3 linked regions of the Tribolium castaneum genome follow. The protein of the gene in region 1 binds, or shares a complex with, the protein of each later gene. Links are inferred from orthologs where the notes say so. Each region holds a gene or a part of one and is shown in the gene's direction. Other genes may lie near its edges.

Region 1 (3,760 bases):
ATGATTACATGGTAGTTTTAATCAGTTAACTTCCAGTTATAGTTATGTATATCAGATATGTGGCTTTTTATTTAAAATAATTTTAGCACACTTGTAATTCCCTTGTGTTTGAGTAATTTACTAATAACTATGATGCAGTCGAGATTACTTTTAAAAAATTTCAAAATTTATCAAGAACTTTGACATCAAACTGTTAAAGTACGTGTTAGGGCCGCTTTTACAAACGTCCGTAAACCTTATAACCGCGAATAAATTTCGAAAAATAGTTGTTTAAATTTAGCCTTAAGGGACTTAAAAATTGGACTATTGTCAAAGGTTACAAGCAAAATTTTGATATTTTTTTGCTTTTCTGAACAGTCTGCAGACAAGTAATCAAACCAACAAAACTGATGTATGTATACAGACTGATCCCGAAATACTGTGTCTGTTAGCAATCTGAATTTAAATTTTAAAGGATACCAATAGTGTATACTTTCAGGTATTAATTCAATAATTTAATCTGATGCCAACATACTCAGTTTCTCTGGATCATTGTGTATATTTAGACACTGTATTTACATATATTATTACATCTGAGTATGCCTATACATTCCAGCACGTTATTATTTTTTTAATAAATTTTTATTGGAAAGACTGTTTCATTTTATTAAGCGATGTTAAATGTTTTTGTGCTATTGCAACTGTTACAGATGCTTTTTTATTAAAATGTCTCGTAACAGTGCATGAGTACAGAAACATTTAACATTTATTATTCTTTTAATTTGGAAAATAAATAAAATGTCCTGTTTGAATTTCCCGCTATTATCGAATTAGTTCGTTCTCTCAGGGTTAGGTGGCGCTTTCGCGAAAAAACGAGGGGTAGACAGAGAGATTCGCTTCTTCCTCTCTCTTATTCTATGACTGACAATAAAATTGTCAATCGTGACAATACGATTTCAATTAACCATTTTATCCCCTTTACCTATTAAAGGCAACAAGGCAATTATGTTTTTTTAATAATGAAATTATTAAAATTGGTGGTTGTCCATATGCAATAATCGTGGTGGGTTGTATTGCTGGTTGCATACGCCACCGGGAAGTGACAATTGTCGGGTTCAATTTTCACGTTTTATTATTTATTTTTAAGTTTAAGTGAGTGTTTTAATAATGTTGGACGAGCCGAGCCTTTCCAATATCACGGATCCCAATTTCGGGCGCCCCCCCGAGTCACAGAACGTGGTAAGTGTCTTAAAACTAACACGTGTTTTTTTGAGGTTATGTTTTTTTTTTCAAATGAAAAAATTCAAATTTGTAGCTTTTGCAACAATTGGGGCACCCACACGTGTCTAGCTTCAATTACATGATAAATCAGGGGCTAGACCAGGCGATTTCTGATTTGAATCCGGTTGAGTTTATGGTAAATGGGGATAAAATCACACTTGAAATAACCGATGCTAGTCTCAGTTGCCCCTTGGTGCCGATGGGCACAGTTGGGGTCAAAAGCCCTAAAGTATTTCCATCGGAGTGTAGGCAAAGGGCCGCGACCTACAAAGGGCGGTTTATTGCCAGGGTTAATTGGGCGATTAATGGGGAGAGACAGACGGCGTTTGATAAGGATATGGGCCAGTTGCCCATCATGATTAAAGTATTTTTTGTTTTTTTGTGTGTGTTTTTTTAATTGGCGAGGTTAATTGTAGTCGAATAAGTGCCACTTGAGCGCCATGTCCCCCGCAGAGTTGGTCAAACACGGGGAGCATGAGCAGGAATGGGGGGGCTATTTTGTGGTCAAAGGCCACGAGAGACTAGTAAGGATGTTGCTAATGACACGTCGGAACTATCCAATTGCTATAAAACGCTCGGGCTGGAAAGCGCGGGGCTCGATTTTTTCAGACTGTGGTATTTCCATGAGGTGTGTCAGGGAGGACCAAACGGCCACTGTAATTTTTTAAAAAAATTACCAAAAACTTGGTATAATTTTACATTTTTAGACGAATGTTTTACATTTTGTTACGGATGGAACCGCCAAATTAATGTTCAGTTACAAGAAAGTTTTGTACTACACGCCGTTAGTCCTGATTTTGAAATGTTTGTGCGATTATTGCGACCAGTTTATTTACCAGAAGTTGATACAAGGGTACCAGCACGATTCCTACTACTTGGAGTAAGCATAAATTGTTACTAGAGACTGGATTTTTAGGAGTTACAAAAAAACTTAATTTAGAAAATTGGTATTGAAATTTGCTAATTAGAACATATTCTTTATTAATTCGTACAGCAGGAAAAATTAAACGTAATTTTTATGCAATATTGCAATAAGGTCCATTACAAAAACAAACAAAACGAAAACTTGAAGTTCTCTGTTGCACCATTTGCTTTTGTTTTTCTGTAAAAATTCAACCTAACAAATAAACTTATTGTATGGAAATGGATACTGGTACTAAATTGATAATATTTTTTCATTCAATTAACATTTTTATTTTTAGTAAATTTTTATATCTAGAATTTTGTATTCAGTTTGTCTTAGTTTGTCACTAACTTTTTTTCCACAACTTTTGGAGTAGGTAGTTTAAAAAAAAAGAACACTTTATTCACGCGTTCAATAGCTTCAGCAAAGGACGAGACTACTGCTTCTATTTTTTTTCTGTTATTTACTAAAATTTCAGAATGAGAATAAAGTTAGTTATTTTTCAAAGCGTCTTGAATAAAATAATGTTGTGCATTTGCTAGTGCGCATAAATCTTCAAAAAATAATTTAATATACAACTACAGTATTTCCACCAGAAAACTAAAACACCAAACTAAAAGGCTAAAACACAAAAAAAATAAAAAATGGGGAGATTGAAATTCTGAAAACTGAAAAATAGACTGCAGAACTGGAAGCACTAATTAATTAAAACATTACATTGTAAAAAAAAACAATTCACTAAGGGCCGGTTTATAGAAAGTTGCATCAAATTTTAATTCGTTGTTAAAAGTTAACAACGCGATTAGATCAATCAAATTGTCTCCGTTTGGTCACGTGATCAGTTAATCACGCATTAAGTGCGAATTAAATTAATGACGCTTCTATAAACCGGTCCTAAGAGACTGAAAAGCTGAAATACAAAAAAGAACTAAAACAAAAAACTGTGGGTGGTATTAATAGAAATAGCAAATCCTTAAATTTATGTTAATAACGAAATGCTTTTACTTATTTCTTTTACTTGTTTCTGTCTGTAATAAGGAATTATTTATCATTTGTGTGTGGTTGTGTGTCACTTAAAAAATTTGAAAAATTGTTTTCTTCAAGCATATTTCATAAGATACATACTAAAATATTCTGCAGTTTATTCACTATTATGCTATTGTAGAACGTCTGATGATTTTTCATGTAAAGGTGAATCTTTGCCTGAGAAAAAAAATTATTAAAATATCCTATTATTTAAATAAAAGGCAAGTGCCCCCTAATGGACTTCATAAATAAAAAAAAATCTGAAAGTAATTGTGAATATGCATAATTAACAACCCGCTAGATTGGTAAAATTAATTGATAAACATATACTGATTAAAACAATTAACAATAATTTAAACATCACAATAAAAAACAAAACGCAAAAATGTAACTGGTAATAAAAAAATTATACTGAGCACCTCCGAAAAAATATTTTTGGATTTTATGCTAGATGAACAGGAAAATATTTCTACATTATCAAAAATTTCTATTGGAATAGAGATTGGAGTAGTTTCTAATTCAATAGAAGGAAAACAAGAAGAGATTCCTGTAATACGGAATACTCTTAAA
Region 2 (2,122 bases), on another chromosome or scaffold:
CTTGTATTATCTTATTTCTGATACACCTTGTATATTTGATGCATGGGGTAATTAAATATCTATTAATGATATAAAAAAGGTAAATATTAATGTTTAAGTTTGACAGTCAATGTTGCCAACACATTCATTATTCAGCATCGCCAACTTATTTTCACATGTTAGGTCTCGCTGGGGGTGCGGATGCTGCGTACATTTACGAGGAAAAATTCACAATTAAAGACTTGCAACAAGATGTCTACCACATGGCTACGAAAATGTCCGAAGGTGTACAACGTGGTTTAATTTTACGTAACGAAAAAGCGTCAGATAACTACAATACCGACTTTATCTACAGATTGTATTGTGAGGAAGGAAAAGGCTTGTTTAGTGCCAGGATGAACGTTTTAGGTATTTATATAGACGTTTGTTTGTTTAAAAATTTAATACTTTTTTTGTGTGTGTATTGTTAAGGTCATATGCAACAAGGGGGTTCCCCCACACCTTTTGACCGCAATGTTGGTACCAAAATGGCGTCCAAAGCGGTCGAATGGATGATCAACCAATTAAAAAGCAATATGAGTTCAGACGGCTCAGTCAGTTGTTCTAGTCAAGACAGCGTCGTTCTGTTAGGAATCGTTAAAAGACAATACAAGTTTACACCAGTCGCTGAGTTGAAAGAACAAACCAACTTTGAGTACGTTTATAAATTATTAAACTGTTTTTTATAATTACTTTAAATTGTTTTAGCTTGCGTATGCCTAAAGAGCAATGGTGGTTGAAACTGCGCCCTCTATTGCGTATTTTGGCAAAACATGATTCGACATATGAGGAAGAAGGGATGTATATGACGATTGAGGATCGCAGTTTTATTAATTAAAGGCAACCGTAGCCATTTATAGTGAATTTGTATTTTTTAGCTTGTTTTATTTATTTTATTGTGTAGTTTATTTTATTAAATGAGATATTGTAAACAAATTTTGGCCATATTGTGATGACAATATCGATATTTGAAGACGGGTCAAGTGTTACAAAGTACGATTCGAGCTGGGTATGTGGAATGGACGTATTATATTTCAATAAAATTTTAATAAACTATCAAAAATTCCTGCACCTTTTTGAATTTCGCGCTTGTATACGTTGGCGTTGCCAACCGTTGGAATAACAAAAAAAAGATGAAATTCCCTAAGTCGGCATGGTGGCGTTGTTTTTATACAAAATTTATTAGAGGAGAAAACTACGTTCCCGCTCGTTTGTATTAAAAATTGTGCTAATTTAAGTGATTAGGATGTCGGAACCTTCGACCAAAGACTCAGGGGCCACGAAAACTCCCATGGTTTACATTTGCGGAGGTACGTGAAAGTGAGGTTATGTTTTGATTTGAAAATTTTCGAAAATTATTTAGAATGCCACAATGAGAACGAAATAAGGCCGCGGGATCCAATCAGGTGCCGGGAATGTGGGTACCGTATTATGTACAAGAAGAGAACCAAACGATGTATCCTTTTATTATCAATTACTAACACTTGCAAATTTTCAGTTAATTTTTCCTTAACTTTGATCCAGTGGCCGTGTTTGACGCCCGGTGAAAAAATTGTAATTAATTAAGGTTGGAATAGAGTGTTTTTTACATTGGGGTTATTATTTGCAAACCTGTCTTTCCCCTTTCCTACGTCCGACAATTCAAGCACCTTGGGCACCACCTGGGGCAATGCATCGATTTCCCAGGGCCCAGTTGTAGCGAAAATTTCAAGGTCTCGCGCAAGGGCAGTGCAGGACCACTTTCTGCAACGCAACCTCCTCTTTAACCAAATTCAAGGTCGTCCATGTGCGATCAATAAAACTAAATACACGCAGGTTCTACGCCGGTGTCTGAGCGCGCCGGTCGCGACGTGTGGCTTCGCCGTTGAAAACGCCGAGAGTAAAAAATTCGCCGATTTTTGGACTGACAATTGTCGGAGGAGTGAAGGTGGTGCAGGACGTGGGGGCCAATGATGGCCGTCTAGGGCTGCGATAACTGCGTTGTGTTATTGCACCACGTGCTGAAAGGGCGCCGGCGAGGTTTACCGTTGCGTGCCGGTTTCCCGCCAGCGCACTGAGGTAATTTTGATTTTTGAAGTGTTTTTTTGATTTTCCCCAAAATGTT
Region 3 (3,760 bases), on another chromosome or scaffold:
GCGGCCGCCGCTCACGAGACAGAAGTCGAAGCGGTTCTCGTTCACCAGGAGCATTTCGAAGGAGATGTACCAGAGGACTTTGAGTCGGTCGAATTTGTGCGACGGGGCGACGCCCATTCTTGTGGCGGATTCGGATGAGGAGGACACGCTGGTTGAGGACACGACGATGCTGCCAGATGAGCCCGATGAGGTTTTTATTGACAAACAAGAGTTTGTTAATGGGTTTAGGATAAATGACAAAGAGATTAAGTACAATGGGGTTAGTTAAGAGTGTGATTGGGTGTGTAGATGTGTAGACACAACAGTATTATTTTAAGTAATAATCTTAAGTTATTTGTTCATTCACATATCATTAGACGTAAGGACGGTTGTGTACCAAGTGATCATTTGAATTCATTACAATTAGAGTACCTACTGAAACTGATATTGAAAGAATGGTTAAGACTTGAGTCTACCAACTATTCGGAGGAAACTCTCCTACTCTAATTACAAATGACGACATATAATACTCGCTCATTAGTATTAAGTAGCGTCCTTGTTGTTGTTAAAGAGTTTTTTTACTCATTTATAAAATGTAGACGTAATAAATTATGATATTAATTTGAAACTACCATTCAATTATTTTTCCTTTATAAATTCGTTCTTCAGAGTCTTTTTGACAATATTGGTTACACACAGCGCGTGCTGTTAACATTTAAACAGCACTTTTTTAAACAGGAAAGTACTAACCATCAAGGTTTTTTACATTGTTCCATAACTGCTGGAAAAGAGAAATCAGAGGTGATTATTTCTGTTGTTTTTTTCCCTTTCCCAAAGATCATCTGAGGCAAGTGCCCTCGATCCGGCTCTGCCCCTATATCATGTAAAGAATCTTATTCAAAAAAAAATTAATACCTGCTTAAGTATGCTGAGTTAAAAATAATCGAATTCTTTTAGTTTTCGAGAGTAAGTTTGTTCTTACAAAGTGGATTTGTTTTAATTGTGAATCCTGTGAAGATTTCACTAAAATGTTTGGCTGAAATTATTTGCTTAAGAGATGAACTTCTGTGGTTGTCGGGTTGGACCTTAAAAATGTGCCTCCTTGTGTTTTTCAGATCAAAAAAAACGTTAAATGACAAAAATCAATACATTAGACAAACCTCCTTGTTCCCATCTTGTAACAATAAGTTACCTCACAGATTATATTTTTTGTTGGTGTCGTACTTGTTGCCGTGTCGTTTAATTTTACTCACTTTATGACTTACTGTTTTGTGAAAGAATTTTTGCGGATTAAAAGTTCCAAATTCGTTGACTAGTGCGTGCTGATCGCGGTTAGTGTGTGCTATTGAAAGGGATTTTTAAGGGGAAAAGAGAAAACAACCCGGATTAAAGGGTTAGTTTTCAATAATTTATTTTTAGAAAAGTTTCTACATTAAAATCTATAATATTTTCAACGAATTTACTGGTACAATGTTCCAATTTCACTGTTTTTTATTTCAGTAGGTTCGTGAAATGCTTTTGAATAGGTGATATTAACATCTTGTACTGATTTTACTTTTAATTTATTTTAATAAATTAGCCCGGCTCAAAATTTAAATAGTAGCCTTGCCAACCAAGCAACTTCGAAAAGCCACAACAAATAACCCTAGACGCAGACGTCAAACCACACGTTTTTCTCCTAACCTGTAAAAGATGTGATTTAAATAACATTGTGAAATACTGTTTTTATTGATTGACTGTGACTGAACCGTTGCTTTAATTTATGTAAGTGCCATATTTATCATTTTTTCAGAAAAAACAAACAAATTTCAGATCATTATGTCTTTATTCTCGGCCCCCACGAAGTCAACGACCCCTTCCTCGATCCTGAAGAAAACCCCAAGTCTCAAATCGACATTAAACCGCTCCTTGAAAGTGAACACACCCACTAAAGTCCGATTTATTTTACCACACTCTAAAAAAGTGCGCCACATATTGAAGGACTACATCAAACACGGAAATGCAAAGGATTATGAAAATTTAGTGTGCCTAATTCGCGATGCCGAACTGTTTGATGACGATATTTCCTCACTGTTGAAGGAAGCGACTGAGTGTATTTCAATAATGAAGCAGGAGTTACGTCTTTTTGTAGAAGCACTCCTTTCAGTTGACTGGATCGAAAGAAACGAAAATGTAGTTAAGGAGTATCAGTCATTTATTGCGAACTTAGTCGCTGCACATAACTATCACGCAGATTTTGTGATAAATAAATTAGTCACATTGTTTTTTCCCCGTAAGTTTGGTAAAGTAACTAATCACCAGTTAATTACCAGTGAATTATTTAGCTCTAACAGACCCTGAATGGGAAAATGGAACCCCCAGTAAAACGGATATTCTGAAGTGCCAACACGTCCACTCCCTCCTCTGTGAACTTCTAAGAACAGTCCCTTTGTAAGTAATTTTTCAAGTCTCAGGTACTTTCCGGATGTAATTATCTAGAGTAATAAGCAATTTTCTCTATAAAATAGTTTATAAATTAAATCTGTGCTAATGGGCATTTCAGGTGCAACGAATTGCTAATCCACGCCCTGATCGACCACTTCCCTTACATGAACAAATCGACCCACATCCACGAATACTACATCCAGAACCTCCTCTGGGTCATCTGCTACCAGCCCACTCTCAGACCCAACATCCTCCACTTAATTTTCTCAAAACTGATCATCATGGACGTGAGTGCGCCCCGCGAGGAAATCGCGAAACTTGAAGAGGAGGAAATTTTCATGATGGACGAGAGCAAAACAAACACTACGATAAATCTGGACTGCGTCCATTCAATGGCACACACTTTGGACGTTTGCCTGGATAAAGTGTTCAATTACATTTACTCCGAGTGCCATGAGCCGGGCACTAATGACTTGAATTGGGGCAAAACCAAGTCTTTATACCAGGATATTTTGACGGTCTTTGATCAGTCGATCCTGCCAACTTACAATACTCATCACGTCCAGTTTGTTATGTTTGTGCTGTGTTCCTTTAAAACGACGTTAACGGAGGCGTTTTTTAATTACTTGTGGAAGAAGGTGTGCAATCCGAACGTCGCGTCGGTGATTAGACAAGCGGCGGTTAATTATATTGTCAGTTTTATAGCGAGAGCCACTTTCGTCCCCCTTACGTAAGATTTTTTCAATTTTTTATGCCCCAGTTTAATGGAAAATTGCAGCATGTTGAAGGGGACTTTGCAACAAATGGCCGAATGGATCCACTCGTATATCGCCACTCAGGACGGCCTAGAGTGCGTCAATTCGGACCTAAGGCTCCACTCTGTCTTCTACACAGTGTGTCAAGCCCTCTTTTATGTGATTTCGTTCCGGCACAAGGATTTAGTCAACACAAAAAAAAGTAATGATTTTTTTACTCGAACATTGTCACAACTTTGATTACAGATGTCGTATTTTTGGAGAGTCTGAACTTGGCGAAAATCGTAACCAGTCGGTTAAACCCGTTGCGGGTTTGCCAACCTGCAGTCGTGCAAAATTTCGCTGCTATTACCCGAAAGTACCAACTAGCCTATTGTTACTCAATCATTGAACACAATTCGAGGAACACTTTACCGACTGTTTATAGAGACGAGAAAGGTTTTGTGACAGTTTCAAGTAACGTCCTAGAGGCGTGTTACCCGTTTGATCCTTTTGTTTTATCAAGGTTCGTTGCACCGTTTTTTGGGGGATTCCCCTGACTGTTTTAATTGCAGGTCGAGTGCGAAAGTGCACCCGTTTTATCGGGACTACAAGGAGGTGAG

What was found.
Region 2: the proteins of Polr1B (region 1) and Polr2K are in contact, whole or in part, in a cryo-EM structure (PDB 7OBA), measured with the Homo sapiens proteins. The link is inferred for Tribolium castaneum from reciprocal best matches to the Homo sapiens genes POLR1B and POLR2K. Residues at the interface, in NP_061887.2 of Homo sapiens: Val87, Ile92, Cys93, Lys94, Glu95, Val98, Ala101, Glu102, Gly105, Arg106, His159, His160, Gln704, Asp705, Val793, Phe794, Gln805, Asp808, Asp809, Asp810, Leu812, Pro813, Phe814, Ile815, Gly816, Ala817, Lys818, Leu831, Val848, Asn851; in NP_005025.1 of Homo sapiens: Met15, Tyr17, Gly20, Glu21, Ser30, Arg31, Asp32, Pro33, Ile34, Arg35, Cys39, Gly40, Tyr41, Arg42, Ile43, Met44, Tyr45, Lys46, Lys47, Arg48, Arg51, Val53, Val54, Phe55.
Region 3: Polr1B (region 1) and Tif-IA share a complex: the UniProt entries of both Homo sapiens proteins name them as parts of the pol I pre-initiation complex. The link is inferred for Tribolium castaneum from reciprocal best matches to the Homo sapiens genes POLR1B and RRN3.

The regions. Positions count from the first base shown.
Region 1 is NC_087399.1:7,572,325-7,576,084, reverse strand, and holds the start of Polr1B (DNA-directed RNA polymerase I subunit RPA2), read left to right. Parts: upstream 1-1,028; 5' UTR 1,029-1,146; coding exon 1,147-1,218; intron 1,219-1,294; coding exon 1,295-1,624; intron 1,625-1,676; coding exon 1,677-1,916; intron 1,917-1,967; coding exon 1,968-2,140; intron 2,141-3,760. UniProt on the Homo sapiens protein: Catalytic core component of RNA polymerase I (Pol I), a DNA-dependent RNA polymerase which synthesizes ribosomal RNA precursors using the four ribonucleoside triphosphates as substrates.
Region 2 is NC_087394.1:4,871,060-4,873,181, reverse strand, and holds Polr2K (DNA-directed RNA polymerases I, II, and III subunit RPABC4), read left to right. Parts: upstream 1-1,136; 5' UTR 1,137-1,264; coding exon 1,265-1,328; intron 1,329-1,381; coding exon 1,382-1,474; intron 1,475-1,542; coding exon 1,543-1,565; 3' UTR 1,566-1,608; downstream 1,609-2,122. Other genes in the region: Pfk (ATP-dependent 6-phosphofructokinase), read left to right, coding at 163-387, 451-673, 727-856. UniProt on the Homo sapiens protein: DNA-dependent RNA polymerase catalyzes the transcription of DNA into RNA using the four ribonucleoside triphosphates as substrates.
Region 3 is NC_087395.1:22,076,107-22,079,866, forward strand, and holds the start of Tif-IA (RNA polymerase I-specific transcription initiation factor RRN3), read left to right. Parts: upstream 1-1,584; 5' UTR 1,585-1,743; intron 1,744-1,791; 5' UTR 1,792-1,797; coding exon 1,798-2,251; intron 2,252-2,303; coding exon 2,304-2,409; intron 2,410-2,521; coding exon 2,522-3,133; intron 3,134-3,181; coding exon 3,182-3,360; intron 3,361-3,404; coding exon 3,405-3,663; intron 3,664-3,712; coding exon 3,713-3,760. Other genes in the region: tyrosine decarboxylase, read left to right, coding at 1-268. UniProt on the Homo sapiens protein: Required for efficient transcription initiation by RNA polymerase I (Pol I). Required for the formation of the competent pre-initiation complex (PIC).